2 linked regions of the Lepisosteus oculatus genome follow. The protein of the gene in region 2 purifies or fractionates together with the protein of the main gene of each other region. This does not show direct contact. Links are inferred from orthologs where the notes say so. Each region holds a gene or a part of one and is shown on either strand. Other genes may lie near its edges. The genes, in order: ift122 and wdr19.

Region 1 (16,976 bases), on a different chromosome or scaffold from region 2:
AAGCCTCTTTTAAAGACTGAACTGCCTCTAAATCTTAGTAACAGTAAGTTGTTAACGTCCTATACACCTGCAAATTGTTTACACTCTTTAAACTCCAGCTTTGCTTCAGTTCTGAATACAACTACAATATAACTACAAACCCTATGAGACCATTATTCTGTTCTACATCTCCAAAGTTGTGGGGTCATCTCCCAGTCCCCGTTAGATCTTGCCAGTTAGACAACACATTTAAGTTTTAAAACTTACTTTAATATAACATCTTTTTATTCTGTTTAATTGAATGCATTAATTTGTATATGTCTCTGTTTTTGCCTTTGTTTTGTTTTATTGTAAAATGCCTTGAGATGATTGACATGAATGAGACAAAATTACTATTTATACCATTATTAATCATGGAGCAAACACCAGTTTATTTTACGGGACCTGAAGGGCCTGTAAGCCTTTGAAAAGGCCCTGCTTACCTAAAAGCTCTAAAGTTAAACTAAAGTTAGTTACAAGCCTTTATGGGATTCATTAACTTACCCTTCTGTTCGGTGATGAGATGCTGCACAATGACATCAGTCATGTTGTCCCTGTTGGCATATCGGTCTTTATAAAGACCATGAACTGTACTAAAGATCAACTGGTAAAACGCAATGGTTCCATCTTGGCAGCCCACCACCTGTAACACATGGAGCTTGTTTATCCAAAGAAGAGTACCGTGAGATCAAATTTTCTCTGTGTATTTCAGTAGTGTGTGTTTTAAACACGCATACTTTAATCCAATAATATATCATCTCAACACTGTTTACAACACTACTGTATGATAACACTAGTGTCTGAATTCTTGATGGTTTACTCAAAAGGAAAATAATTAATGGCAAAAATCTTAAATCAACAAGTGATCCAATGACACTGTGCATAAGTATTCAATCATAATGACAAAAACGCACCAAATTTTGTTTTGTTAAAACTAAACTATGTCTTTCCTTTTTAATATTTAGGCTTCATGTAGTTTCTCAAAAAACAAAATAAAAAATGTCAATTTGCAATGCACATAAGTAATCTTCTTACATAACATACTTTATAAAGTTTATTGTTAAATTTATTTTAAGCACTGTCTGAACTGCATTTGACTTTACAATGTATGAGGACAGAAACAATAGGATTAGTCAGGTTTTATACTAATGTCTACATGGACATACCACATAATTAGAGTCTGGTTTGACCCTACAGGACCAAACCCAGGAGTTTTGCTCGCCAATGGTGCCCAGTCGAACCCCATCTTTGGTGAACAGGGAAGCCTTTTTGTCCGATCCCCCCATCACAATATACTCCCCTTTGGAGAAATAGCTGACGCAGCAGGGATCATAATTCAGGGACCTGTCTTTTCCAATCTGAAAACACAAAGACACGTTAAATCAGCTGAACCTAGAGGGCACAATTTTAGAATTGAATGCAAAGTATAAGATCAAATCCCTTGGGTATGTTTTAGTATCTCATTTTCAAAGAAAGCTTTACCTTCCATTGCTGTCAATTAACAGCATGCCATCGTATATCATCTCAATGTTGTAAGTTTTGTTTTGTTGTTTTTTCTTGAGAATAAAAGGGTGCCCAGGCTGAAAATGCATGATGTTGAATAACAAAATACTATTTAAGAGTACATCGTGGTAGACAACTCTAGCCCTTATGTGCCGTATTTGTTTCTGGTTTCTATTCCATATCATATTTAAAGCTTGAATTTAATTGATTAAGCAAATAATAAATCAAAATTCTTTCCAAGTTTAAATCAGGTGCTAATTAAAAGTTGCCTCTAAAACCTGCAGGGACTCAGCACTCAAAGACTGGAGTTGCCTATCCCTGGAGTATGTAATGTTTAATGGTATAAGTGGATCCAAATCTTCAACTTCCCCAGGCCCACTAAAGATCAAACACATGAGTGCAAACAGTTTAGCATTTGGTAGACATCTGAAAATGCAATACTACAGTAACATTTTTCTACTCACTTATTACTCATACTATTTATTATTATACTATACCAAATATCATAAGAATTATTTCACAAATTACAAAATATTTAAAAACCTAGCAGGAAAATATCAAAATATTTTATGGAACACAAGCACCTATTTTTTTTTTTTAACAGACTTAGAAGAGGTCAATTTTTATGCTGATTAATCTTTGTTATCAAATGAGTTAATTAACAGGGGTCTAATGTGAAAGGCAGTAGCAGCGTGTGGCCAACAGCTGGAAGCAATACAAGATGAACATCAATGGCACATAGTTTACACCAGATTGCAGTTGTTTTCTTGTGGGATTCTGTCTCATACAGCCTGGAAAAGCATGTGCTTCTTCACTGGTCTCTGGGCCCTAGATACCACACATCGTCCTATTTATGTTCAATGGGCCTCAGGTCTGGTACACAGGGCATTTACAGCACAAATGTCATACTCTCTTTTGAAAGAAAATCATTGTTAGACAACCAGCATGAGAACATGCATTGTCCACCTAGATTAATGTGCAATGTCTTCATGTTTTCCTGTCAGTACCTGATGACACAAGGTCAGGGTGGTCTACATAAACAGTAGTCCACACATAAAGAGAGTGACAAGTTTCTTTTAATGTTCAATACATATTCAGAAACATTAAACATCACAATTTAGGTGAGCCTTATCACACTAATAAGGGGAACCTATTCTTCTTTCTTGCTAAAAAAGTGATTTGGTGAGGGTAATATGAGCCAATGTTCCTGTTAAAGCATACTACATGTTGCTACTTAAATTTTAATTGAATGCTTACCTGTTTGCCACTTAGCTGATAAAAAGACAACTTCTGGCCCCAGTCTGCCACTGCCAAGATGTCATTGTGCTCATCTCTGTGACAAGAAAAACATGTTTGTCATCCACCGCATGGACTATTCTTGATTATGTGACCTTAAATACAAAACCCCCATCAAAATATAGCCCAAACTCTTTTACTGGTCAAAAGAGACAACTCATAAAATAAAAATCCCAATTGATGACAAAGAATGTTTCAAGTTATGCTCTATGTCAGTTCCTTATTCCTTTTTATGATTCTCATTATTCTCATTAGTGGCATTAGCATGGAATAGAAACTGGGGCTCTGGACGTCAGACTAGAGGAAGAACACTTCAAAACCTGGGGCAGACACTGCTGTTCACAATGTACTATCCTTGAGAATAGGTTATGACATGGTCACCACCTAGAAAGCAAATCACCCACATGTGACATACCTCTGCTGTGGAGCATGCCAGCTACCATCTATTCTTCTCTGACAAATGAAGCATAGTGTTTGCATAAACACGAACTCAAAGAACCATCACTTTGTGCCGTCTACATGCATTTCCTGATGCCTTTGTACTGCGTGTCTTGCACAGCACAAAACCTGAATGCGAAAATCTGTATACAATACAGACAGGTGCGGCATGACCTAAATGGAGCTGTGCCCTCAAACACGACAGAAATGAAGCAGCTCTCTAAGAAAAAATGGACCAGAATCCCCCCCCCCCACAGATGTGAGAGACTAATCAACAAATCAACAGGAAAAATTATTAAGTTAAGTTATATATATAAGTTATAAGTTATATTATATATATATAAGTTATCGAATCAAGAAGTCCACTTACTTTTTCACAAAAAGATATTAAAGTCTGGCTATTTTTTTAAAATAAAGCCAAAGTAGAATTTCTGTGCTTTATTTGTCAAATGAGTTTAGTTTGATCTACTAGGTAATGACTAGGTAAAGGTCAAATACAGTAACTCTAAACATGTTAAACCATAAACTCTTAAGGGGGTGTTCTTGCTTTTTAACTACATTGTATATATATACTTAATAATTGAAAATATCAATATCAACCAATTATACTACCATTTAAAAGATTTAAAGTTTTAAAACGATCTTCCCCTACCTCAAATGCTATCACTTACAGATCAGTATTGTCAACATGTTCCTGAAGCAAATGGCCCTCCAGATCCTCTCTCTCTTCTTCTAGCTGGGACTCCTCTGCCTCACTGCCCTGACTCGAACTTGTTTCAGCCCACAGGTAAGAAGGTGCACAAACACTGCCCTCCGTCAGTGGCTCCTCTTCCCCATGTTCAGGGCATCTCTTCCAGACAGTCCTCCACCTACTGCAAGCACTGGCTACATGTGGGGGCTTTCTACACCTCTACTTCTACACCTGAAATCACTGCCATATGAAGCTACCTTTTTTAATTTGTTCCCAAAGCAAGAATATGACATGCAGTTGACTGAAGGTTTACTTGACAGGATATGGTAGAATACGGAAATTCTGTATTTATACAGAATTAATACATGTACGTAAATCCAGTTTCAAGGCACCGATTCAATAATATCTATCATGAAATTGGAAATACCTCTGATTTTTCCACTTTCCTATTATACTTGTTGATAGCCGACACTAATTTTTGTCACTTTGTAATTACACAGAATATGGAATTGTTTTCCTTTTTACCCATTAAACACAAAATCATACAAACTTCATGACAACATCTAGTCATAAAGTAACGATGAAGCTTACATCAACATTTTAAGACAATGACAAAAAGATCAATACATACCGTTTCCGTTCCTCATATGTAAAAGTTTTTAAACCATTATTTTTATGTCATTATTTAACAAACTTGTATTCCTTACATCAAAATGAGAAAACATGTTTTGCCATGTTCAAATTCAACAATACATCAACATTAACTTTTGATTGTAGAATTATAGGATAGAATGTTTTGATTCCATGTGCTCAGTCTTTATATGTTCCCTGTTCTTCATTTTCGAGTTATCACAAGCTAACCAGGATTTTTTACTTTTGCTGTTACATACTTGGATGGGTTCCAGGCAATGGACCAGATGGGTGACAGGGTACCTCCAGGACGTTCTATCTTCACCTTCTCTTCCCCATTTTTATTGCGGATACTTACTACTCCATTCACCATCCCCAAAGCAAGGTACTGACCATCATTGGTCCACCTGCAATCAAATTTACACAAGGTTTTCTCACGCAACAATATGATAAATTATTTTTTGTGTCTGAAGAGTCCACGTATACAGGAAGACTGGATGGATAGATCACAGGTGTGAGATAACGTTTTCAAAATCAAAAGAACTGGTAACTCTTAAGGCTCATCCTATGTCCAATAATATTAAACTCTTTTTTACAACTTTGCAACACTTTATGCAATAACAACTAAACTAATATGATGAAAACCACAACTGCTAAGATATACAATGGGACAGATAATTCTTGCTCACAAAACACACACAGCAATGGTTGCTTAGACAATTAAATTAGTATTTATAACTTACCCACAACATGTGATTTTATTGCTGACTTTGTGTTTGGAGACAGATTTTTGTTCTGGAGACCACAAACCTAAATAGGTAATACAATATAGTATTCATGTTAATGTTTACTCAACTTTCTACAAAAATACCACTGTTTTATCAAATCAATACTCCACATAATATATTATTGTTTTCCATAGTCAGTAAAGAAGCTGCTGTAGTTATCAAACTGTCAATGATAAGCATCTGTGTTTTAAGTACGGAGAGATCACTAATGATTACCGGAATTATTTCCCTAAGGTTATACTAACACAAACATATCTTAACAAAACAACTCACCAAAATCACTGGACGAACAGGAGGCCAGCTGATGTGTAACTGGATTATATGAAACGCACTGGATGGAGTCATTGTGGCTATTTAAAAAACAAAACAAATTGTCAAATTGTTACAACCTATGATTTTAAAATGATAAAATAGGTTATCAATTCAGTATAACAATCAAATATTAATCAGGTCTTGGTACTAGGATGCTATACAAGTAAATTTTAAAGATCAGTAATTTTACCTAATTAAATCTGGGATTATCAAGCATTCCACAGCACCTATTCTCTGGCATATCCTCATAAAAGAATAGAAATTGGGCCCAAATTTACACAATTTATTTTCTAACAAATAACAGAACTATACAACACACAAGATTGCACAGCATACAATGTTTTTACTATGAATGGATATTTACATGTCTGCAAGCTCCAGAGCTCTGCCTTATATAGGCACAGAAAATCAAATAATTTTATCCTTAACAGGCCAAAAAGAAAGAACCTGCATTTTAAACGAAAGGGATTCTAACCAGCACTAAATCGCCCTCTCTAAACAGATGCTCACAGTTCGATGAGCCAATTTTCCTATTCTAAAATCAGTAAAATACAAAAGACAGTTTAAGACTGAGGATTGCACAATATATGAAACAACAATTTTCTTGAACAAGTAAAACAACAAACCACCTAAATAATATGGCTCAGAATCTGCTGCTCTTTCTGGATTAAAATTACCTGGACTACACCTGATTTCAAGTCTAATTTGAAAGACGCACTCTCTCCCAGCACAAGCTTCTCATGATGATAATGATGTCTCTTCCTCTTCCTCTCCTTACTAACCCTTCCTTTACATTCCTGTATTCATACTATTGCCCATTCCTATGGAGGCTGGATTAATGACCTCACTAGGAATGGCCAGATCACCACCCATGCTAAACCCTTGTAAAACCCAGTTGAGAACTCTAAATGGTATTATTAAATAATTCCTTAAAGTTGACTGAAGAGCCCATTGTACACAGGAATTCATAAGACAAGAAATTTCATAAAAGGTCATTTATTTGGCTTTTTGTGTCACGATTGTTACTTCTCAAAAGTAAAATTATTACATCAACAAGTGTAAAGGTGCAGATAAAAAAACAAATTCAGGAGGACTTTAAAATGTTTTACTTACGTATACTTCAATATTCCCTCCAGCTTAGAAGTCCAAATGATGATACTTTTGTCAGCTGAACCTGAAGCAAAACGCTTCCCTGGAAAAAAAATATATTGTTATTTTGTCAAGCTACTACACCTTATTGTGTATATGTAAGATACTTATTTAGTATGGGAAGAGCATATATACAGTAACATTTTTTTCAAAGCAGGCTTTAAAAACTGACCATCTTTGGCATAGGCAACACAGTATACTGTGTCTTTGTGCCCCTTTAGAGGCTGGATAAGTGTTCCATCAGCTGTGTCATAAACCTAAAACACAAGACAAAATAATTAATTTCCACAAAGAACATTCCACAGTTGCCTGAGATTTAAAAAAAAATCAGAAAAATAAACTCAAGGTGCTGAAAGTGTAAAACGTTAAAAATACGAAGGCATAGTATTTCTTCGAAATATGTCTTCGAAAAATGCTATATTCGTATAAGAGTATTTAAATAATATATATATATATCTTTACACAAAATACATCACAACTTCCAAAAGCACGTACCAAAACTCGATTTCCAGCAGCAACTATAAGTTGACTCCCATCTGGCTTGAACGCAAGGTCGTAAATACTGTTTAGGGGAAGAATGATTTATAGTTACAATAATGCACTATTGCTTCGTGATACTACTATAGCTATAGTTGTATACTTTTTAAATTAGTTTATGATAGAACTCCTTGTGGGATGTTTCATAACACAATCACCATACATATTTGAGTCTTTCTACATAATGTCAAAAGAAGGACAAAAAACTCAATGAAACGTAACAATGTCATCTGTCCGTTTGATAAATTGTTCCTCAGTTTGGGAAAGCGATTGATTTGGTCATATTTTATTACTGTAAGTGGGAAAAAAATCAAGTGAAAAGCAATGATTTTAAAAATATGATCAGCGAAACCTGCACAGTGTACAGTATTTATCTTTGAATGCATGTTATGTGTCAGCTCAGGGTATAAACAATCACAATTGTTATTGCAATTTAAACAATCACAACAATTTAAACATTTAAATAAATACACACGTTCATTCGATCAGATGCAAGAGTAATTGAGTGCTTAGTATGGTAACTGGCTAAAAATAAGCCATATGCCTAGGATGAACTGAAAGCAAATAAACACGACGACTTTAAATGACTCAATATTTTATAATGACAAAGTTCCAAAAACAACGTAGTTGTTTAATATTTTTACCATATGTTAAAGTGACACATTTTTCCTCACACAGTTTACATTGGCAACCATGGTTGCTATCGACAGCCAACGGTGTTAGCAACAGGCCTACAGATGCCGCTAAGCGACCATACGTGGTTAAAAACGTCTCCTTCTTACCATTGCTCTACTTTATCCCGATCATGCACTTTATCTATCCATGTCGGTACGGCTCTCATCGTGGTTCTGTTTTAGCAAGAGCTGCTCTACACTTTCCTTCCTCAAAGCAAACTAACAATGTAGAGAACCCACTTCTTTCCGCAATCACACTGTTTACATCTCGGAGTCACACTGGGCATGCGCACACTGCATGTAGCTTGCTGAGCGGTCTGCGCATGTGCGACAGGAGAAGTATACAGGAAAGTGTCAAGCATCACGGTTTTATTCCAAAGCAGAGTTATTGTAATTCCATCTTTTTAATTCTAATACGTCGAGCGGTAGCATTTTAACGATGGAACACTGATCTAAATCAGCATGACTGTGTGTTAGTTTTTACGTTTACGGATTCAGTTTATGCATGAATTTGAGTTACCGCGTTTACGGATGGATGATCTTAATAGCAGAACTACTGTCAGGTAAGAAAGCAAAACAGCTAAGTGATCTAAAAGCTGTATTAGTCCAGTTATTTTAATGATATATACTGTTAGTCAGAGTTTAATTGTTTGCTTATATTGTACCTATGCTTTTCTTATCTATGGCCATTATAATTTAACATAAGCAGAACACATTTTCAGTACATTTTCTATATTCGTAAAAACGTTTTGTATATATTTTATTTTTGGTTGACATGCTATGAAATGCATGTGTATTAATTTTAAAGGCAGGTTTCGTGACTAAATAGCTAATTGTGGTACTATATACCGTATGTTACAGGGATTTATAGTATTGCACGGGGTTATCCTAGTCTCATAGACAACATTTTTGTAACTAGACATTTTGGAAACTTGTGTGTTTTGTTTCCAAACCTAGTGAAACTGCTACCACAGAAGCAATAGCGTGTGAAGAGCCCTCTTTGTCAGATGAGGACCAGCAAGAGAAAGCTGCACCAAAGCAGAGTCCCAGCCCCGACTCGTGTATGGAGACCTGCTGCTGTCTCGGAGTCCCGCCAGGCTGGGTTAAAATGGTGAAACAGAGGCGATCTGGAAAAACGGCAGGGAAAGTAGACGTATATATCATCAGGTACTGGGTTATAAATATAGTACAAGTGTCTATATGATCCCAAATACATCTTCCCCATTTTAGATAAGCACAAGGGCATTTGAAAATGAACAATTATGATTGGTCAATAACATCCTCTAAAAAATGTTTTTACAAATGTTTATAAAGTAATTATATCTACATCAATGCTCAAACCTGTGTTAAAAAGAGGCACAACACTTCAGGTTCTATTTTCTTGTTGCTGTACATAGATGTTGTTACTCATGTTTATTGCAGTCTGCATGTCTGAGAGAATGGTCCCTATGCATTACCATATAGAAAAACAAGCTTTTAAAAATACATTTGTACAGTTGTTTTTGTAACTGTTAGTCAGATCTGAGAACAATATATATATATATGAGACGTATTTTGTTTTGAACCAAAGGAATTAACACTTGGTGTACTCAGTCCACAGGGAGGGAAATTCAGATCAAGAGCTTCACTCCATGTCTACCTTCAGAATAACAAAGAACTCTGTCTCAAGGGTGCAGATTTTGATTTCTCTGTACCTGGGAAGGACAAACAGTTAACAAAACCTCAGAGGACAAAAAAGAAGAAAGCTCTCCAACTTTCAGAAACCGTCTTGGACAGCACAACTGACATTAAGATTACAGCCGAAGAGGAACACTTGTCACCCAGCAGTGTGTCAGAAGAGCTGTCTGGACATGATGCTGCCACTGACGGGGTCTTTTCTGCGCCTTGTGCTGAGAAATCCAAGTCTTCAGAATCTGAAAGCACAAGTTGCAGAGCCAGGGCTAAACGTCGGCACTCACTGACAAAGCTCACTCCCGCAGGACCACAGAGAGGACAGAAACAGAGGAAGGATCCCAGCAGTAGGGTTAGAAAAGCCGGTGCTGAAAGAGCAGTGGGCAAACGGGGAAATAAACTGACTCCGGGCAGTGAAATGGAAGAAGGGCAAAGTCAACGCCACACTGGAGACCAAAAAGAGACTCAAGGGGGGCTTTTAAAAGACAAGCTTCTCAGACTGGCACAGGAATGTGAGGTAAATGACGTAAACGCACTGACTGTGAGCGGTGAAAGAGGAGAAAATCAAATTGCAAACCACACTGGAGATCAAAAAGAGACTGAAAAGGGACTTTTAAAGGATAAGCTTCTCAGACTGACCCAGATAAGTGAAGCGGATAAAGGAGCAGAGCTCGCACTTTCCCCAGAAGGTGAAAATGAGTCGGGAGAAGTGGTGTGTGACCAGCCTGAGGCCTCTGCCCCAGGGAAAAGTGCCTTACAGCCTGTGTCTAAGAACGCTGCAGAGACACAGCAAGCTGTTGTCGGACCTGAAACTGAGTCTGCGCTAGAAGATGGTGATTCACTTCCTCCGGGGGACTCGGGGACATTTACATCAGTGAAACAGCAGCAAAGCAGTAAGCATAAAGTTAAATCTTTGAGTATAGCTCTTAACGTTCTGGGGAACATTGAGGGGTTTCTCCAAACCGAATAGGAATCGTGGCCTGATATGTTTTGCAATGAAAATAGACAGTATATTCAGTTACAAAAGGAGAAGGCTTAAGAAAACCTTAGATAGAAACATTGAAATATTGTCCAAGTCCATCAATGAATCTGGTACTGTTTTGTTTACCTTCAGGTTGTGGCATAAAAATGCTGTCAGAGAAAAGAAAAACAAGCCAGTACTTCACTGGAAAATTAGCCAGAGAAGGTAAGGAAACATCATTTTCAACTTTTACCAGGAACAAAAAGGACAACTCTCCCAAATGAAACATGTTCACTTTATTTTTCTTAGCTCCAAGTCCACCCAGACGCAAGGCCTTTAAGAAATGGACTCCGCCTCGCTCTCCTTTTGCCTTGGTACAGGAGACTCTTTTCCATGATCCCTGGAAGCTTCTGATAGCCACCATTTTCCTCAATAGAACCAGCGGTAAGAGTTGTGGCTTCAAACAGAACAGGACAATGAGACAATTCCCTTCACAGAGAGCTAACCTAAAATACTAGGTTCGGATGTGGGGCGCGGTTCAGTTCTGTCTTTCTGTCAGTTGAAAGTAAAGAGACTCTTTCTTTTAGGTAAGATGGCAATCCCTGTGCTGTGGGAGTTCTTTGGGCGTTACCCGTCTCCTGAGGTGGCCCGTGTCAGCGACTGGAAAGAAATGGCTGAACTGCTGAAACCTCTGGGCCTCAATGAACTCAGAGCCAAAACAATTGTGAGGTTTTCAGGTGAGTGATACAATGTTTTAAACCAAAAAAGAAGCAATTATGTATTTCTCACTATACTGTAGCTACAGTATGTTAAGCAATTTGTGTGTCACAGTGATTTCTTCAACAAGTCCTAGGTGTGAGTTGTATGCGTGTGTGTGTTGGTGCCTATCTGCCCTGTGGTGGGGTGGCATCCCATCCAGGGTGTACCCTGCCTTGTGCCTGTTGCTTGCCAGGGTAAGCTCTTTCTGTGCTGGTACTTTGAACTAGAAGAACCGGTTAGAAAACAGATGTAAGGATGGATTTCTTCACCATAGTCCTGAACTACATAAAACTGAATGTTCATAATATTCTGATTATGTTGAGGATTATTTTTCCATGTTTTTCTTTTCATCAGTGTAATCATACGATTTGCAGAAGTAAGTATGTTGTATTTGGAGTGTAGTGCACTAAGCTCACTTTGTGATAAGATAAAACACTTTATTGGCCATATGCAATTTCTTGTATTAGGAATTTGTATTTTCGCATACCCCAACTTCCTTAGCCACAGACACACCACACCACCCCTGTCATAATTGGGTGATAGGGAGTTTCTGCTTATTATCCACAGACTATGGATAACAACCACTGTATGTTGTGGTTAACAAAGGATGTAATAATGACGCTTATCTAATTTCACCCTGCCCATCACAATCAGTCATAGTCAAAATGATTTTATAATCAGCCCTCCATCTACTGTACATTGTGTATTAGAAAACCAATGTGAAATTTTCACTTTTCAGCAGACACACAAGGTAAAAAGAGCACAGTATAAGTCTCTGATGATACTTGAAAGAGTTCTCTCCAGTTTTGTGTGTGACCTCATTTTGATCCTGTTCTCTACTGGCACCAATGTGACCGACTGGGGTTTTGCACCTGCTTAGATAGCAGACTCTTGTAGGAGAACAAACCTTTGCTCTCGTAAAGCCTTTGAACTCTGTACAGGTGCGAAAGGCTTACATTTCAGATTCTTGCCATTGCAGATGAATACTTAACAAAACACTGGAAGTACCCCATCGAGCTCCATGGTATAGGAAAGTATGGCAACGACTCCTACAGGATATTCTGTGTCAATGAATGGAAACAGGTGAGTTGGGGGCAGCTGGACTCATTGATTAAGAACTCTATCCAGTGTAATCACAAAAATGGATGACAGAGTTATCCAGACATGATACGGGCCCTGTTTTTTTATGGACACATAAGCAGGATTGGAAAAATGTGACGGTAACTGTCGATTTTTTATCCATGTTTATCTTCTTAGGTTGATCCCCAAGATCACAAGCTGAACTTGTATCATGCATGGCTCCGGGAAAACCACGAGCACCTGGGTATCTGATTCCGAGACGAAGCTTGGAATCTCGGAAAAGTGGTTCAGGGAGAATAATGTTGAATTATTGCTGTTGCATTTTACCACTCTGTCATTCAAAAAATGTACTGGACTGCAACCATGTGATAAAACACAGGTCTTCACGTTTTTAGTTATGTCAGCTTTTGACTGGTTTTATATTGTCAGGTTGTATGCGTGTGCTTTTTTGTGTGTTTATGCTAGAAACTATTAAGATACATATCATTGCTTAAAAATTGAAGTTTGTATCTGCTTACATATAATCTGTAATTAAAATATTCTTTAACGCAAAACATATTTTTAGAGATAATAATAAAAAAGCTTGTGTTTTGTACTTTTCTGTTTTTTTTGGTGTTGTTTTTTCTAAAACGTCTTAATCTCTCTCTGAAGTAGCAGCTCTGTATTCTCCCACTTGATTATTTAAATGAAGTCGGTTCTTCAAATGTCCTGTAGTTGTACACTAGAAAAAAAGATAATAGTATTATCTACTTAGAATAGTATTCTAAGTTTCCTTAATTCACATCTCCAATGTATCACCTTTTATACTAATTTATTTGTACTAAATTATTGTACCCATTAATCTATTAATAAATTCAGTCTTGGACTGATTTGTAATTGATTTCATTGTGGCAACATAGGATATTTAATGATAAATAATAACATTTTCAGTTATATTTTAACACATGTAAGCTACATAGCTGCATTTGAAAAAAGGTCAGCACACATATTCTAATTTAATAAATGCAAGAGTAGTTGTCACGTACTATCGGGTCATGATTTAGTGCTGAATTAATTACCTGCTCACCTAACCAAAGACATATTTGGGAAGTTTGTAACAGAGATTAACTGTTGACTTTAGTAAAGCTGGTGTATATGAAAATGTTTTCAACATAATATTATAGTCATTTACTTGAAAAGGGACGCTATTATTTCTGCACTGCTTGCACGTTCCGAAACACCCACGGCTAATCGTTATCTGGTTGCATAGTTTTAGAAAAAGCTAAAACTCACTGGATTAATGTTTGAATTTTCACATAACAAGTAAAAACAGATATACTAGTATAACGGATGGTCATACGTTACATGTACAGCCTACAGTTCCCAGAAAACCTCGCTGCGCCAACGCACACAACAGTTGACAAATTGGAAAAGCGAACGGCGACGGTCTTGCAATCGCGCAGACGCCGAAGGAACGTAATTATTTTAAACCCTGAACGTCCAAATTTTTCCGGTTTTGAACTTCGGGTTTGTTTGAATAGGTGGTTTAATTGGAAGCAGTTTGTTTTGAGCGAATGCAAATCCCAACAGATCATTCACAAAACTCCGAAATTATTTAGTTTTTGTGCTATTCTCACATCCATCGTATATACGGACGTTTTACTGTTTTATTTTAGAAATTGAATAACTCAGGGCGGAGATCAACACAATGTCGGCCGCTAATGTAAGTGAAGTATTTAATTTACCTAGACTTGTGCGTTTAAGGCACGAAAATGTAAGACACGGTGAATAGAAACTGAAAATCGAATAATGATTGGATTAAGTTATGATACTGATGCTCATATTTCCTTGCGTCGAAAACATTTTGATCTTTTTTGAAGGTGCTGTTACCTTTAAACCATAATTTTAACCCTTGAAAAAAAACCGATGAAAATGTTTTTCATCGTTTACAAGTAACACGGTTACATGTATGGCACTTATTTAATTTTCTTCTGCAAAATGCGCTGTTTGTAAACTTTCCCATTTAGCTATCAGAGCTGTACCAGGCAGTAATGGGAGAGAGTTGTGGAATTCACTAAACAAACTATAAAGCACATCTTAAAACCACAAGGTACACTTTTAATAATAATTACACTTAAATAGTGAGGTATGGTCTTTGGAGAATGAAGGAGGTATATAGGGATGGGGTTAGAGACTTTTTTTCATACATGTTTTAAAAGGTATCCAGTAAGTCTATCAAAGTGTGAGGTTCAATCTTAGAGTAGATTGGCTAAAAAATGTTTTTTTAATGGTTGTGCACTTAAATAGCCCACTTCACATGCTCTTAACATACTGTATTACGGACACACATTACACTTACAAATTCCGTGCTATAGAAATGACCTAATAAGCATGCTGCCTCTTGTTAGCGAAGGTGAATGTGGGCTTAAATGTTTTATTTTTATGATTTATTTCAGCAGCCTTCCCAAGGACAGAGGAAGGACCAGCATGTGAAAGTGACAAGCCATAGAAACGCTGGATTCCTCGAGCGCTTGAGCCAGACAAGCGGAGGAATGCTGATTGGCATCGGGCTGTTTGCCCTGTCTTTTTATGTACTCTTCACTAACGAGGTACCAGAAATCAAGCTAATCGTCAGCAGCATGAGCTGCTGGGGCAACCACATTTAAAGGAACAGACCCTTTGACACTTGCGTTTCATGTAGTAGAAATGCTATTGTCTTTTCATTTTAAGATGGCTTAACATACACATTTATAATGTGCAAGATCTAGTCCATTCTTGTACACCCTGCCCTAGCTAACACGGCTCTAAAGGTTTTCATTGGTGATGACTGAGAAGATTAATTCCTTGCTGTATTTCAGGCACAGTCTAATATATTTGAAATAACAAAAGCCTTTTGAGTCTGTCAGCTGGGATTCTCCCTGCATTCTAACTTACAGTAATTTAACTGGTTTTAACTGCTTTGCGAAAAATAAAAAGTGCAGCTAACTGTACATTGAAGGTGCCCAGTAAGAGTATATTGTCTCTCTGCTCAGGGAAGGGCTCTGAAGACGGCAGCTTCCCTAGATGAGGGCCTGTCTCTGGTGGTGCCTCTGGACAATATTCATAGTGTTGACCCTCAGAACAATGGAAAGCTGGTGCACCTGTCTGGGCCCCTGCGGACACCTCAGGTACTGTAGGCAGCATAGCTGTCAGGCCCCTCCTGCTAGGAGGAAAACTTTGAATTAAAAGAAACACTGTTTAATCATTAATGATAATTATAATAATTGCTTGCACTTATATAGCGCTTTTCAGGACACTCCACTCAAAGCGCTTTACATGTAATGGGGACTCTCCTCCACTACCACTAATGTGCAGCATCCACCTGGATGAAGCGACGGCAGCCATAGTGCACCAGAACGCTTACCACACATCAGCTATCAGTGGGGAAGAGAACAGAGCCAATTCATAGATGGGGATTATTAGGAGGACATAATTGGTCCAGGAGGGAATTTGGCCTGAATACTGGGGTTACACCCCTACTTTGTTTGAGAAATGCCCTGGGATTTTTAATGACAAGAGAAAGTCAAGACCTTGGTTTTACATCTCATCCGAAGGACAGTGTCTTTTTACAGTATAATGTCCCCGTCACTATACTGGGGCATTAGGACCCACACAGACTGCAGGTGGACCCATTAACACCTCTACCAGCAGCAACTTTAGTTTTCCCTGGGAGGTCTCCCATACAGGTACTGACCAGGCTCACACCTACTTAGCTTCAGTGGGCTGCCAGTTTTGAGTTGCAGGGTGATATGGCAGCAAGAATGTCAAGTTTTATTGGACTACATGTAAGAGAAAGAGTGGTAAGATTTAAAAATACAGTGTATCCAGGTAAGTGTGGCACAAAGGTAGCCTTTTGACCAAAATAAGCACCGACTGAGACTATTGCACATTGTACCATTGTGAGTACTGGACTCAAACTCCACCTAGGACCCACATTCATGTACTGTACCTGTATGTTGCCTGTCTAAGTGCTGTTAAGTCCTGAGAATGAAACGTGTGACTTGTTGCAGCCTTTGAACGACCCTAACTACAGAATCAGCGTCCATGCAGCCAAGCTGAAGCGGGAGGTTGAAATGTACCAGTGGGTGGAGTACCAAGAGAGCCGGTGAGAGGCTGAAGGCACAACTCTAGCACCACACTGTTGTCAGGACGCTGTGTCAACAGCACAGCCTGTCATAGTGCAACACGGGAGAACAGTGGAGAGTACCCCATGATCACTTTGCCAACGTATCATAATACACCCACCCACAGCTTAACGTCATTATACAGTGCGAATATCAGTGCTTTCTTTTTATGAATTAAATGTTTGTAAAAGATCTGAGTATAATTTGGCCAGTTTCATCAGAATATTTTTCCTTCACTCCCTGTGTCTGTGTGGTGCCTCCAGGTGCTTCATTTTTCTTCCTGCTCATAAAGAAATAACAAGCTAGGTTAACAGATCTCTCTATCTT
Region 2 (16,182 bases):
TACCTTTGGAAGCGGAGCAAAGAGTTAGACACATTTCAAAACATATTTGCTTTAAAAATAACTAGAAATGGTATTAAAGGTTCCTATATTCTTGTCTTCATTTGCATGCAGTTTTCCTAGAGCTATTATAATATCTATATCCCAACAGTTTTTCTCACTCCTCCTTGACATTTTATTTATAAAGAAATCTTTCAATATTTTGCTAAAAAATGCAGGCCTCTCACTACCCAACATCAGCATCCTTTGCATTTTTTCCAGCTGCAGGCTTGAGTAATAATAGCGTTTAATATTGTTTGGCCTTGTTATCTGATTAAGCAAATTTCAAAAATTAAAATAAGATAACTCTTAACATCTCTAGGACCTGGAGCTGGCTTATACAAGTGACTCATCAAATACGAAATGGATCAGACTGCTGCTTGATGGCAATCTGATCTATAGCTCTGCAGGTCTGACTTTTATGTTACAGATACACCTGTCCCTGAGACCTAATTAAAATAAGAAAAGATGAAAACAGTAAAGGCATTACCACCGGTATGCAATTATGGTACCATAGCGCTGCTGGAAGGCCAGTTCAATGGGGTTATCAGGGTCGTTGAGATTAAAAAGAAATAAGGTTTTCCTCCCCACCACCACACTGGCCTAGAGAGAGAATATGCCAATTTAGAACAACAGGCAAGAGGACTGGATAAGAAGTCATGTATACAATAACAGTTACAGGCTAACCATGCTTCCCATAAAACTCGGATTACTAGATTTTGGAAGGTCATAATCTGTGGATAATAAAAATGTTATGTTTCATATTATATCACACAAGCCGAAGAGGATGGAAGGAAGTGATTGAAGTTTTTGTGTTTTTCTTTTAAGTTCCTATTTTTCTGTTGAACCAAGTGTGTCAAACTCAGTACCCGGAGGGCAATTAGATCGTTGTGTTCCAATTTAACCTCTCAATTAACTGATCTCAAAATTGGCACAGATAGCCATATTTTTTGTTTTCAAGCTCATTATAGTTGATGATGTAAAAGAACGCTTTACTGAAGCCAACAAAGCAATGATTTCTTTCATATCTGGATAGAAAAGTTAGAAATGTTCCAGTCAATCAAACATTCTGCCAGAGACAGTGCAGAGTGGAACAGAAGCCAGAAGATCATGATGATCTCCCAGGAGTCTGAGATTGATAGCCCTGTGCTGGAACATCATTCCACAACTAATCAGTTCCTTCCCACCTGAGCGCAGACAGAATCTCACAAATCTTTTCCAAGTGCCTGCCTGCTCAATTGGTATTAGCATGGCTGAGAGTTTGAGCTGCCCCATTTTTTGTTTCCTAAATTTCAAAAATCCCAATGATCAAGTTACATTCAGCTATGTGCTGTGAACAAAAATACTGGGCGGGGACAGTCGAGGTCAGGAGTCTGCAGTTCGAGTGAACTGAACATAATTTAATACGCCGATTCACAAAATAGACACTGTCTGCCAACAGCTCTGATGAATAACTAACACACACAACTACACAAATGCATAAAGGGCACTGTTCAACATGTAATGAATAAAGGATGTTGTAATGCACCATTGTCTTTCTGTCTCAATATGTACCGAGCACTAAACAAAACTCATCACAATCATCGGCTCTCTTTTAACCAGAATTTTTTTTAAAAAATCCACCTTAAGGACTTTCAAGGCCAGCCCAAGAGAACAAATACAGACAGATAATGAACTTCTCCAGCAGTTAAGCCAATGAGATGTGCCACTATGAACTTCACACTTCCAGGGAGAGGCGAGTCTAGGAGACATCAGAGGTTTGCTGAATAACTGCCTGGAAGCTGCCTGTGGCTTGTGTTGAGAGAGGGTGAAACTCACAGTGCTCTCGCCCATGCTGGCTCGCTCATCTGTCTTCATCACAGAGAACTGAATATCAGCAGGCTCTGCACGGACTGTTGTCTGGAAATGGGAAAGCCAGGACATAGGGCTGAAGAACAGGCGATCATTGCCACATTCTTCACTGCATATTCGTACTATTAAAATGACTGCTTAGAAACAAAACGTCGATATATATTTCTTAGATTTCTTGGCCTTAGAGAAGCATGCACTTCATGCTATTCATTGTAAAGACATACAGAAACTGCAAGGAACATAGCAACAACAGTTCCCAAAAAAGCACTCACTATAAAATGTATGTTCAAGGATATTTCTTTAATTCATACTATCAGTCTGTTGGTCCTTGTAACTGACTGAAAACCTTATGACAAATTACTAAAGTGTTTCCATAGCAATGGCCTTGAGAGTGAATCTACAGGGGTAATATAAGACCAGATTTGACAACCTGATTTTGCATAATCGTACTGTTATGTGTTAAGGGTATGAAAACCTTTAAAGTTCACATTTTACAGCACCCCATTCTTTAAGGTAAGATAATGACAATGTTTGAGCATTTGCCTGGCTGTCCTTATCTCATCTTGTTGCTTGACCAAGGGGCTAAGCTGTTTTCCTCATTATTAACAGTGATCACAAGATCACTCTTAGTGAGGTCGTTAAATTACTATAAGAAGACAGTATAAAAATCAATATGGAAATCAGACAGAAAGAATATAAACAAGGAACAGAGCAGAGATAGGAAGACAAACTACAGAGAAGAGATTAAAAGAGAGAAGAAGATTAAACATTTTGAGAAGGTACTGTACCTCTTCTATAAACCAGACTACAAATCTTTTAGGTATATTGAGCATTGAAGAGACCGGCTCCAGGATTTACACCAGGGACAGGTGACTTATATTACTGGAAATACTGATTTTCCATTTGTGGTATTGAAAAGACTGGAGAAACTTGAGTGATACATTATTTGGAATAGAGAAAAAAGTTCCCATTAATTTAGTATGTTTTATAGAGTACTGTAACCCTGAATATAGCTGTTTTATTCTAGAAAAAATGTTCCCTCTTTACCCTATAAGATAGTTGTACCTTAGCTGCAGGGTAGATTTCTGCTTCCCTATGTCAGTAAAAGACAGGACCCTGGTGCTCACAGCTTTTTTAAATGTCTGGATAAAATAGTTGTAGATGTTTTGTGTTGGTGTCTGTAATTTATTTAAGATTTTTTTGTCTTCTTATGTTGGTATACATACTAGCTGTGCCCTCACTGGCACTTCATTCTGAGAACTTGCCACTTGTCTCCCTGAAGACAAAGTGATCACCTGTCTTATAGTGTCTCCTTCGTGGTTGCTCACAGTTACTGTCTTGTCTTCACTCCCCAAAGCCAGCAGATTTTGAGAACTCCAGCAGCCACAGGTAATCCTCTTTGTGTGCTTTCCTAAACAAAAACGACAAGGGTTGACATTTTTTAGCTCCATATTCACTGAGCCAGGAACATCACTATGAACAGCTGAAGAATCACATCATCTTCAGCAGGAATATAATCCTGAATTTTCAGTGAACACAGTAATATACAGAAATATTAGTCGTGCTCAACATGCACTGGGGAAGAAAAGAAGGGTAGTTTAGTACTGCTTCTAATAATAGTCTTTACATTAATTTTATTCTTATTACTTATGAAAAAGACTTAGATTATGTTTATGTAAACACATCATCGACATCTTGTAGACAATGTTGGGAGTCAATTAAGATGCAAACTGTTGTGATATAAAGTCAAATGTTGATTAAAATAAAGAGATGTCATATCAAAATTGTGTAATGCAATAGAAAGACCTTATTTAGCAAACTGCATACTGATACCCTGAATGGTAAGAAAGTAAAGACTTAGGATTAAATGGTAAAAAACAGAAAAGCATAAATTCAAATAAATTAAGAAAAATATTTTAACTAGTCTAACACAACAGTACCGTTAGACAAAAATGCAATGCCCAATGATAAATGCAGTTACCGAGGATTGGAATCTTGCGGGAGGTCTGCTGGTTGTAAATGAGAAGGTTCCCCTTGGCAGTCCCCACAGCCAGTAAGCATCCTGCTTTTGACCACTGCAGGAAGGACATCTGGTCCCTGTGGGCAAGAGGGATCACAGGTAGTTAACACAGAAGAGACAGACGTCTGAAGCACCATCTACCACAGAAGCAATGAGATGCATTTTAATGAAGACTGTTGATCAAATAAAACCTAGATATTTTTAGTCTTTACGCCCCCAAACAAGACAAGAACTGTTTTCATTAAATATATTCACATCCTTCATTGGGAAATAGTGACAGGTTACCTTTTCTGCTAAAAGAACCAGCAGTCTTCTATGCTTGTTGGAGTCTCTTCTTTTCAAAGACTGAGTTCTATTGACCTTATACTTCCACACTGTAACAACACCCCATGTAATGCAAATTTTATACATAAAAAAGAAAGGAGTCTTAATCTGATTCTGTTTCCACATAACCTAGTCCCACAAAGTCCAAGCCTTCCCGAACTACAAGCCTAAACATCACCTGTGGCACTGTAGATGGCCACAATATCTATTTCATATACTTAATCTAAACTTAGCTAAATAAGTGTCACTGGTTCCCATGAAAAAGAGAAAGAGTTATGTTTCTACATCTCTGTCAGTCTACAGTTCGTCGTACACAGGCAAAGATTTCACAAAATACCCTTTACATTTGAGCCCATTTGCTGGTAAGAATATGACTTCCTGGAAAAATGAGTGGAGAATGAAGAAATGATTAATTATTAGTGAAATATTCTCCTGGTGTGCCTACTGATGGTGATTCTGATATACAGTACCTCTTTGTGGTAGGATATCAAAGCTTTTGGTTAAACAAGGTTTAAAAATTGAGTTATAATCTGTTAAAATCTAGACACCGTTGCGCCCTCATCAAATAGTTTAAAATCATAACCTCTTTGAACTGAAATATGATGGATAAGAAGAAAACGAATCCAAAAATAGCCTCCCATTCCTTAAGACTTGTATTCAAATCAGATTTGGTCTTACTGGGTTAGTCAAACAAAAAAAACTATAATCGATATTCAAGACAGTCTGACCACATCACATTTATTCTCTATACTTAGCAAAGTCAAGCTGAAAAACAGCTCCTATGGGAAACAAAAATCCAGTTAATCGATGATCCAAAAGACTGGCGCTGCAAGCAGGGCTCTCAGATCCTCACTACCCACCTCATGCCACTGTCCAGCTGGCTGATCTTGTTGGTGTTGGCGTCCCATAGATAGACAGAGCTGGACTTATCTGCAATCACTGCCAGGATGTCTCCATCTTTATCCCAGTCCATTCCCACACACTTACTAAACAGTGACAAAGTCAGTGTTAACACAAAAACGCCTCACTGTGTGCGTGGTGCCCTGCTTTTGTTTTAACAACAGATACTGGTTTAAAGGTTTGACAAAACCACAGGGAAGGAAAAAGAAATCAGATATAAATGCGTATCTAGAGTGACCTAGCCAGCAGTTAATATTACCTGGATGCACAAATTCTGGGCACTCAACAGAATAGGGATTGAGAGGTCCAGGGAAGAAGCTAGCAGTGCTTTGTATGGAGGGTGTTCTGGGAGTACTCTACAAAGCACTTTGGCCAGGAGCCTGTATCCAAGACTGCTAGCAAGAAGGATTTCCATTTGCAAATGTGTTCACTTCCAACTCTATGTTAACAGCATAATAATGGTTGACCTGAAGATCAGAATACTCAAATAGACAGCAGTGTTTTTCTTTTAGATCAGTTAGATATAGGCTGCTTGGTGGTTTATCAATAGATTATTTCCCCACTGAATATGTGAATGTCTAACCCATGGTGTCATACTAAAGGGGTGTCTGCATACAAAGTGTGTGTCTATCTGCAGGTGTGGCTATAGTAACTCAATTTTATTGATTCAATTTTATATATTTTTCTCAAAGCTCTGGTCTCCCTTAGTCCAACTGTAATCTGAGATAAACATTGGATTGCAATGTGAAATGAACAATTAACAAATAAAAAGCAAAGATTAGAAAACAGCCTAACATTAGCTACACGTAGCCATATACTAACCCTGGAAGGTTGAGTTCATTCCTCTGCTCTCCATGACGATCGAAGATTTTTACGGTTTGGTCAGGTCTTCAGAAAAAGAAAGTCATTTTTAACACACGCTTTTCAGCACATTTTTAAAAACACACATTACCGCGGTGTAGGAACAAAACATCCTATTGTTAGCAGACTGAAAAAAAGACAACGCGTCTTCTAACATGGAGAGAGAGCCAGGATGTTGTTCTTCTGTCAATGTTTGCGCACACAGTGTCTCACTGTCCTCTTGGCCCAACTCCTGTTGATCAGTGTGAAAAGTCAGGAGCTCTTCCACCTACCCAGCGACAGCGAGATAACTCCCCAGAGTCCTCTGCCACTTGTACTGCAGACAGCAGCCCTGCCAGGCCCTGTCGGAGAGGGTGAACACTCGCTGGGGGAGAAGACGAAGATGCTGTGTAACTACAATGATCATATTCCTCATTCTGGCAGCGAAAGAGAGGTTTCAGACTCAGTGGTTTGCATTTCTGTTATTTCTATTTATGCGTTAGATACGTTTTCAGTTTATCGTCGTTGCCTCTATACTTTTATACTCAAGACTTCACAACAGAGAAACATTTTTTTTTATTTTCACCATTCTTATCCCTTGCAACTGAGATTGATTACTAATCGTTATTATATGTTTACATCTTAAAACCAGCGTCGACGAAAACATCCATTTACGATATGAACTGTAAACACTCTGGGAAAATCTCATACAGTGCATGTTTTGGCGATAATTAGCGACTATTTCTGCAATCTATAAATTGCCTCTTTGATGACAGTATTCAATGATTATGTATTTTAATAAGTGTGTAAACTTAAAATGTATAAACAAAAATGAAAAGCAGGAAAGCGTTAATAAGATCGATGTCTAAAGTGAAAAGCACAGAATCATAATAAAGATTAATCTTTCAAAGAGCTTCAATGAAATTGTTATTTTGCACGGCGATTGAAACTGCCGGTCTTTTCGACAGAATAGAAATATGTAACTTTGTTTAACACGTGCCTTTTTCATATGATCGCGATCGGAATTAGAAACTACAGTCATAAAATAATGTTTTGATACCTTCATAATTTATTTTTCGCCATCAGGAGAGAACTTCACCATTTCAGCTTTTGCTCGCCCCAGAATGCATCCCTCCACAGCGTCCGCGTCACCCATAGCGACCCGCTGCCGCAACCAATCAAATCACCTCGAAACCAACCGCAAAATCGCGGCTCTCAAGGCATTCTGGGACGTGAAGTCCAAGAGCCGCTTGTAGGCCTGGAGGCACTCCTCTTTCCTTTCCTCGGGGCTCATTGAACTGCTGCTATGCAAGCATCGCATTTCTCCGTTTCTCTGGCGCATTGTGCTATGTTCACAGCGAAGAAAACGTCCCGAATGTATTATTTGGTTTTGACGTTTAACAAGTAAAAAAAAAATATTTCGTGGTATCACAAAAACATGCAGTAGTTCAGTCTGGTATAGGTTCATAAAGTTTATACTTTGCATTTGTATCCTTAGTTTTTGATTATGAAGGCAACATTCTGGACATACGATCAACTCTAGCGGCTCTGGTGAGATTGACTGGCCGGGCAGATTGAAGCAATCGACAGGCAGGTCACGTTGGCATGGTTTCCTCTCTGCCCAGAGGTAGCGATTTCTGCTGAACAGTTGCATGAAACTCACAATGTTCAGATCAGAGGAACGACATTCCATGCAATTACAGGATAGAGGACATACACACAAAACCGTTAATCCCACTTTCGCGGGTAGAATCTAACAAGTACAATTTTAAATCCCCATTTTGCATTTTAGCATCTCTCCGTGCAGTTAGTTGATTGTCCTTCCTTATCATATTCATGTACAAGAGAACTTCTGTCAGGTGATGGATTAAACAGTCTTGAATGATTTTATAACTGAATTGATTACTGAATCAAATGACAGTCGTTACATTTTGCCGGTTTGATCACATCCGACTAATTTAGCAAGTATCTGTGCCCTATCTGTGCTCAGCTAATTAACTAATGCTCGAATACACCGGAATATACAACCTGTGCCGCTGAAGTTAACCAAAAGTGATTAATCTGGGACTAAAGATGTATTTACACGGTCAAGATGAACCATGTACCAAGTAGCAGAGTCATCTGATGCCCTCTTCCTGATATCTTCGTTACTAGTAACAGCTGGATTTGTCAAAACCGCATTGATATTACATACTCAGAACAAACCTGGATTGAAGTTGTCGATTATTTATATTGTATATTTTGATTATTGATAGTACTATCAAAAAAGGCAAAGAATCTAACACTTAAATTATCCCATCTATACTCTATATCTTGCCTTTACAATCTTGCTTTAAAGGGATAATAATAAATATCTTCACTTCAAAATAAAATATAATTTTGTGTACAATATATAGAGATACATATGCATTTATATGTAAGTATAAACGCATAAGGCAGAGAAATACCACATTTACATAAATATATAATTTAGACATTAGCATTTAAATAGCTACAGGGTTTTGGTTGCCGTGTAATTTATTTGCATTTTTTGTCTCGTTTGACTCACCTCGGTGCAGTACGGGAAAATACATTATCTCTTTAAACGTAAGATTTTTCACATCGTGAAACGTAATTTTGTATTGAAAAAAAAATCCCCTTTGCAGACAAGCACATTCGGCACACATGAAGAAATTAAAGAGCCCTGGGCTTTCTGGACGCAGTGGGGCTTCACAGCGGTGGCCTCAGTCTGAACGTATTTACTATTCTGTAGAGGAAACCTCATTGGACTGCACTCTGTACACTACCTGTCCCAGGAGGGTCCAGACAGCAGCGGGGGATGGGAGAAATTATATTATCTGACATGTCAAACATAAAGACCCCCAGGCAGTTTTTCGCAGTACGAGAAACGTTACACAAAATCCTAATGAGAGAAAATTTCCAAGTGACCCTTGAAGTTCCTGCCTACACGAGGGATCGCTAACCCCCCCAGCCATCACGTCAGTCACCGTGTGGGGCCGAAGGTCCCGGCAGTAACAACCCAGACAAATTCACAGAAGATTCCAGAAGGTTTCTGAACAGTCAGGCTGAGCATCTGAAATAACTGCCGCACAAAACCAAGAAAAAAAGAACAATGACATGGTCTCCTAAAATGAGACTCTTATAAGGTTCATAGATAATAATTTGAGGTCATATACTGTACCTGTGGCAAGTTCAAGTTCACCTTGATACACCTGAGAGCAGGGTGCTATAACACAGATGTTTTACTGGCAGGTCTGGGGGAAGTAGACACACAACAATAACTGCCAGGGAAAAAAATACCATGAGGTATTCGAGAGCAAGAGCCTTAATCCTAGGGAATAAATCATCCGAAGGGAGGAGAGCTTACTCTTTGATCACTAATAACTAATAATGTCAGTGCAAGCCTGCCCTTCAAATGTGTTGCTTAACTGCTGGTATTCCATGAAAAAACAAAGGCTAGGAAACAAACATTTTCTGGACTTCATCAATTATCCTTACAATGCCATCCGTTGATCTGTAAATAATGTTAAATCCTGTCACACACCATCAGATGAAGAATGGTGATGTCCTCAGATGTCCTACTGAGAGAAGGAAACAAACAACTCACAGGATTTCCTTTGACAGCCGTTAAACCAACTGATTGAAGTCTGTGCCGTTCAGCAAATAAAACCATAGCTGATCCAGATAAAACAGTTTGTCATCTGCCAGAGAGAGTGAGGATCTGAGCTTCCCCAGGTGTGTCTGGACTGTTCCAGGTGCATAGTGGCAGTTAACCCATGAATTAACTGCACGCTGCACAAACAGTGCATCTGTACACAGTACAACAGTGCTTCAATCCATGTTACATTTTTAACAGCCTCCCCAAATTAAGTTTCTTCATCATTAAATTTAGACTTCATGTTGCCAACAAGCTGCTGCTTCATGGCTCATCCTGTCCAAATGTTTCCCTATTCATTTTCAAAACCGGGTGATTGTCTGAATCCTTATGGTAACTGACATTTCGAGAAGAGGTTCCTGGGTTTCCGTGGCCAAGGTGATTCTCTTTTCTGGTGTACACTGAATTATAAACAATGTCTTCTCTTATTACAGGTGATGGCAGAGAAAAGACCTATAGATCCTGTAGGTTCTGCTTGTCCAAAACCGCTGTGCGTGTCCAGCATAAAGAAGGAAGGATTTATTAAGGTCAATAAAGGAGAAGCTTAAAATTTTCTGTTTCATGAACAGAAATAGCAAAAGCCACAGTCAATCAAATATAACCAACATGTCCAGCATCTAACCAACATAAAGCCAGCAGCTATAGCACCCTGCAAAGGATGCTGCTGGAAGAGGTGTCAGTGGGACCAGTGGTGGGCGCTCACCCTGCAGTCTGTGTGGGTCTTAATGCCCCAGTATAGTGACGGGGATGCTATACTATAAACAGGCGCTGTCCTTCAGTTGAGATGTAAGACCGGTCCTGACTCTCTGTGGTCATTAAAAACCCCAGGGTGTTCCTCAAAAAAAGTAGAGCTGTTGTCCTGGCCAAATCTTTCCTTGGCCTTTATTAATTATGGCCAACTAATAATCCCCATCTATTAACAGGCTTCCTCTTCCTTCTAGTCTCCTCCTCACTGGTAGTGTGTGGTGAGCGTTCTGGCGCACTATGGCTGCCGTCACATCATCCAGGTGGGGCTGCACATTGGTGGTGGAGGAGGGAAGTCCCCATTACCTGTAAAGCATTTTAAGTCCACTTTGACACTTTGTGTCCAGAAAAGCGCTATATAAGTGTAAGGAATTATTATGATGTCTTAATCCTTAAAACAAGGATTTTAAATCTCAGGATTATGATCTAGATCTGTGGGCTGAAGCCCTGGTCCAGGAGAATTTCAGGATCTTCTGGTTTTCTTTCCAAATTCAAGATTCATACTACTGAATGGAACCACTCGGGTACTTAATTAGCCAAGATTAACATGATCTCTAGCCAGTGATACTGTAGATTAAGTTTTCAAAACCTGAAGGACTCTCCTGGACCATGACGGGCACCGATATATCCTCATACAGTTACACATGGCTCACATGAAGGAAAGAGACCAAGCCAATCTGTTAAAATAACAGAAACACAGTTAATAAAAATGCACTGGACACACCAGTTTCTTCTTCCAATATTTTAATATAAAAAAGTGCACAGAAAAGCAGATTGAATGGAGAATAAACAAGGCATGCAGTAAACTATTTAAAAAAAATCAAAGTTGCTAAATAATAAAGTCATATATTTAAATAAATATTTTTCCCTTTCGAAAAACAAATATATAAAACATTTCACTTAAATACCACACACAGGGTGAGAACATCACACAGGAGGGCCTGGGACCAGAATGGGGGAGCTGGAAGCTCATGCTTGTCTGTCGGAACTCTGGGGTGACAAAGACAGTGCCCTGTGATTTGTAATATCCTACTCTCCATTAAGGCAACAGAAGGTCAAAACACGGGTTCAAAGCAGTTTGTCACCCCCAACAGATGGACACAAAGGATTCTAGAACAGACATGCACACTTCCAGCAGGAATGCAGTTCACAGGTTTGAATGAAGGAATGTAGGAATCCTGTTTACTTATATCGCAGTCTGGGTGGAGCAATGTTTACAGTGGGGGCTCGTTCATGCCAAGGGCAACAGGGAACTGAAATCTGCTAACATCTGTCCCCCTTGTCCGCCATTGTCGTCTCAGGTTGTTGAGCAGAAGAAATTTCCTTCAGAAATGTACTACTCTTTTGAATGAGAACCCAGGAGTTTCACCCCTTCCTTCCACTGAACCACAGAACACCACAGCTCTACATCAACAGTAAAGAAAAGCCCCCCAAAAATGGCATCTGCATTTGAAGGAACGGAAAAAAAGGAAAGTATTAAGACTTCCTAAAGATAAGTAAAATCTGCAGTATCTGCTTTTTAAAGGCAGTTTAGGTTGCTGCTAATATCCTGTCCCAAGAAACTGTTCTTAACAGATCATGTTCAAAAACTACTGCTGCTGCCTCTTCCAGGCATTGAACTGGAACTACTGTACTGTACAACTTTGACCTGTGGAACTTATCCAGTCAAAGCCTCAGTCCAGCCATGCAGAATGGATCCAATGCAAGTCTACCAACTGTGCACCCACAATGTGGACTATCATATAATATGATATCTTCCATTCAATATAGATAATATTGGTTTATATTACATTAATATTCAGAGGAATACCTTCTTAATTTGACCATTAACACACCCCCATCGTGTAACAATGAAAATACAATTGAAATGAGAAGAAAAATGTAGGCACATACAGTATAGTATAAAAGCAAATCAAGCTTTAAACATCTCCAAATAATTAAAAACATAAAATATTGCCCTATTTGTCCAAGCAATCTATAAACTGTATTACAGACACTTCATTTTATACCAAGTGGGGACAGACTTTATAAGACCACTATCAAAGTTCCAGCTCTGGCCAGCACTCATCACATGCTCAGGATGTTACCCTATAAACAACCTTCTCTCTGTTCTGTTGGAATGTTTCTATTGTTTGGCTAAAAAAAAAATCAGAAAATATTATATAGATTATAATAATTATATAATACAGTACAATACATATATAATATCACATAGATTTTTCTGGAATTTTGAGAAGGAGAACATGAGAATGGGAACATTGAATAATTTTGATTAAAATATCAGAGAATGCAACAGGGTGTTTATTCAACCAAGACCTTTTCCAACCACCTGTTCTTCCACCACCTCCCCCCTCCCGCCCCAGAGTTTGAAATGAAGGCTTTCCCTCCTAAAACTCAGGAGGTATCAGGTGGAGGAATCCACAAGGCTTCATTTTCACACGTGGACTTACGGATCTCTGCTCTGAATTTCTTTGTAGAGACTCCAGATCCCTTCTCTGAAGTGGAAATGTGTTTTTAAAGTCAAAGGGCTGCACTGAGATGGAGCTACAGTCTGCGTTACGCCATTCGCTTCAAAAGTGCATGCAACAAAATCCCACTTAACTGATCAGTGGTGCTGTGAATACTAAGAAGAGAAAAAATACATTCATGAATTTGAAATGATGTACTGCTGAATGTCCTCAAAGTTAGAGTCTCCCTGTCTCAATGTGGGTCACTATTATTTTTTACTGTATGTGACGATTGTTCTCTTATCTAAAACTACAATTTTGTGTCTTGCTCAAATACGGAGTGAAAGTCATAAGACAATACGATAAAGAACTAAACTGCCACTTTAGTCACTCAGATAATTTGAGCAGTCCACTTTTTTTGATCCCGCAATACCAGGAGTTTAATTTAGCATTTTATTATGTGCAAAAACAGGCAATAAGCTTGGAATGGCAGGAAAGGCCTTTGAAAATAGCCCAGATGTTTGCCTACTTTGATGGCTACTTTTAAAAAGATATTTAAAAAATGGAATGTCTAGTAAGGAGACTTAAAGAACAGAAACAAACAGTGATGTCTAATTACCCTGTATGTCTTCAGAAATAGCAATGGATGTCTATCACCAAACAACACACACCCTGTGCTCTTCCTCCACTGCTGCCTGAGCAGTGTGCAGGACAGCCTGTCTCAGGCCTGTACTGTCATTGGTGAAAGAACACTGATGCTCAGTGAGATGCATCCATTACAGCACCAGGGGAAAATGGGAGTATGTGCAGTTCAATCACTGTGCTATTAAATTCAGCTCCGGTAAAATCCCAATTTCTCACTATGTCCCCAAAAATGCAATTTGTAACCTGTCAGGAGGAAGAGAAATGATACATGGTTCTTTTTTCATTTTCTAAAGTGAGAATGTCTTTTGTCTGGATCAGTAACAGAGGGAACATCCCCTCCCCCCACCAGCCTCCGATGCGTTTCAGGAGCAGAAGTATCTTCTAGCACAGTGAGGTCTGTGACGATGGCATAACACGCCTCAGACTCCAACCTTTCTCCATATACTGTTCCCTGTGGTACAATCAACCCTATCCAAAATCAAACTGGGAATCAGCACATTAAACTGGACAAGGGCCAAACTGTAATTTAGAAAGACTGTGAGTTTCAGCCCAGCTGATTAAAAAACTCCACAGAGGCTACATGCTGTACATCATGCTGGGCTGTTATCTAATGATTGACACAGCGCAGTTAAATGAGCAAAGTTTCCAATACACAGCAGAATGGAAATAGATATTAAATTCTTCCTTGGTAGAATCCCTTTTAAGTAGTTCTTTGGGACAGAAGAAAAAAAAAATGCCGCGGATTTTGACAAAGAGAATAAGAACTGTAATGATGTCTGGGGAGAAGGAGACGCTGGGTTATAACTTCACTGCCACAACACAGGCTCCTGCCCTCCCAAGGCACAACGGTGCAACCTGCAAAAGATCACAAGGAATAACCCAGTGAACCAGCTGCCCACACCATCCGGCACACACCTCATGAAAAAGTTTCAGTTCCTGCATGTTAAAAATGTCATTTTCCATGTGTGTGATTAACATGTTCTCTGACAGTTTTGTTGAATGTGTTTTAGAAAAGGGAGATTTCTGGGCAGCACATATGCTCTGCTATTTACTTGGCTACCAAGTATGAAGAGTCCTGTGTTTTTAATCTTCTGTACTATCCGTTGCATGCTATAGTGCTTTGTTGTACTTTCATTATTTATTCTTATTTGTTCAAAAAGAACGGCACAAATATGAATCTCAATTTAAAATATGGCAAATGAACTCCTTTCTCTCTTTGCTCTGGTCTGCATAGAAAGAGAGAGAGAGACAGCATACAACTCCAGGAGAGGCCATGAATGACACAAAGTGATCTGGAGGAGACGTGTTGCTAGGCATTTTACTCAGGACTGACACTGTTATTTTCTTTAAACTAGAACAGCAATTAAAAAAATATACAGTATATGACACAAAATAACACAACATATGACACATACATTGTTTTGTTATTTTTAAATTGAATTCAAGGCATTGACATCTGAACTTTTCTTTTTTCTATTAGGCAGTCAACTGATATTTAAACTTTTCACTCAAAAGCACAGCCTGTCTGTATGTGTCACCGTGTTGAGTATGACATTCCTTCTGAATTGCCACCTTTCAGTTTGGTGGCCTTGACCTGTCTTTTTTTCTGTACAATAATCCTGAATGTAGTAATTCAATATTCAATACTACAGAGTTTACAGGACATTTCCCATTTACCACCCTACCAGCTTTCGACATTGTGACTTTATTAAAAATGCTTCAATCTTGCTCAGTTTATAGCAATATCTATAAAATGTTCTCATGCTGTCCTCTACATTGTTACAATGAAAAGACATTAAACGAGTTTTGTAAAAGAAATATAAACTATTCCAACATACAAATGTGGGAAGACTGCCTATGTCTATGGTGGGTTTGTGGCAATTAACATTTTAATATGTAATTACATTTACACACACATATTCCATTGTTCAAATATGAAAGTCTCTTCTTGAGCAGGGATTGTCAGCCAGAATACATTACACCCCTGCAGGCAGAAAACCTTTTACTCTAACTCTTTATGAAAACTGAAACTTCTAAATAGGACACCTTTTTTTTTTAATGAACATTGACCGATATGAGCCAACCACTCAGATAAACACAAGCACACAGCTAAACACACAGATAAACTCAACCACTAAATGCAGCTGCTAAGAGAATAGATTGAGCTCTGTGGCCTAGTAACTGGTTACCAGTGAGAGGAACTAGGATTCCCCAAACTGGCAGAATGGAGCCATGAAGAGAGTTGCAATTCGTCGACAACAGAGACTCCTGCTACTTAGGGGGTGTCTGTCGGCTCGGGGAGATTTCAGTGAGAGATGCTCTGCTTCTTCGGTCAAGGCTAATTCTCCTGACATGCTGTGTAGAACTTTCAACCTGTCACATTTCTGAAGGGCTCTGCAGGTGGTAATGTCAGAGAAGCCTGTCCACGTGTCTCATTCTTTAGTGAACAGGAACAGGGGCCGTAACTAGACAACTGAATCTTAAAAATATAGAAATTCCTCACCGAGAGGGAAAAAAAGAATGTCGCTAAGCAGACTAAAATAAATAAAAGACTTTCAGTATTACCACAGCAAAATATATTCATGTTCGGAAAGAAAAACGGGGAAACATTTAGGTGATGAAAGGGAAACATGATATATTAAATAAATATTTTAGTTCACTTAGTCGTTTATCACAAAATAGTAACACAAAATGTGCCACTGGCTGAGCAAAAACAAAAT

What was found.
Region 1: the proteins of wdr19 (region 2) and ift122 purify together in Homo sapiens (affinity purification with mass spectrometry; 4 studies listed by BioGRID and IntAct, counting the BioPlex papers as one, with this or other methods). This does not show direct contact. The link is inferred for Lepisosteus oculatus from reciprocal best matches to the Homo sapiens genes WDR19 and IFT122.

Annotation. Positions count from the first base shown.
Region 1 is NC_090699.1:55,793,160-55,810,135, forward strand, and holds the start of ift122 (intraflagellar transport protein 122 homolog), read right to left. Parts: upstream 8,330-16,976; 5' UTR 8,204-8,329; coding exon 8,145-8,203; intron 7,726-8,144; exon of another isoform or gene 7,593-7,725; coding exon of another isoform or gene 7,585-7,592; intron 7,388-7,584; coding exon 7,321-7,387; intron 7,083-7,320; coding exon 6,998-7,082; intron 6,869-6,997; coding exon 6,790-6,868; intron 5,715-6,789; coding exon 5,638-5,714; intron 5,387-5,637; coding exon 5,320-5,386; intron 4,984-5,319; coding exon 4,837-4,983; intron 4,128-4,836; coding exon 3,927-4,127; intron 2,855-3,926; coding exon 2,779-2,854; intron 1,377-2,778; coding exon 1,185-1,376; intron 662-1,184; coding exon 523-661; intron 1-522. Other genes in the region: mbd4 (methyl-CpG-binding domain protein 4), read left to right, coding at 8,538-8,599, 8,994-9,203, 9,630-10,600, 10,822-10,893, 10,978-11,112, 11,256-11,405, 12,407-12,510, 12,685-12,759; transmembrane protein 43, read left to right, coding at 14,195-14,209, 14,943-15,095, 15,519-15,653, 16,536-16,630. UniProt on the Homo sapiens protein: As a component of the IFT complex A (IFT-A), a complex required for retrograde ciliary transport and entry into cilia of G protein-coupled receptors (GPCRs), it is required in ciliogenesis and ciliary protein trafficking.
Region 2 is NC_090696.1:68,455,992-68,472,173, forward strand, and holds the start of wdr19 (WD repeat-containing protein 19), read right to left. Parts: upstream 7,139-16,182; 5' UTR 7,038-7,138; coding exon 7,032-7,037; intron 6,357-7,031; coding exon 6,265-6,356; intron 6,020-6,264; coding exon 5,954-6,019; intron 5,218-5,953; coding exon 5,092-5,217; intron 3,985-5,091; coding exon 3,869-3,984; intron 3,299-3,868; coding exon 3,183-3,298; intron 1,936-3,182; coding exon 1,855-1,935; intron 640-1,854; coding exon 527-639; intron 4-526; coding exon 1-3. Other genes in the region: klhl5 (kelch-like protein 5), read right to left, coding at 14,261-14,317. UniProt on the Homo sapiens protein: As component of the IFT complex A (IFT-A), a complex required for retrograde ciliary transport and entry into cilia of G protein-coupled receptors (GPCRs), it is involved in cilia function and/or assembly.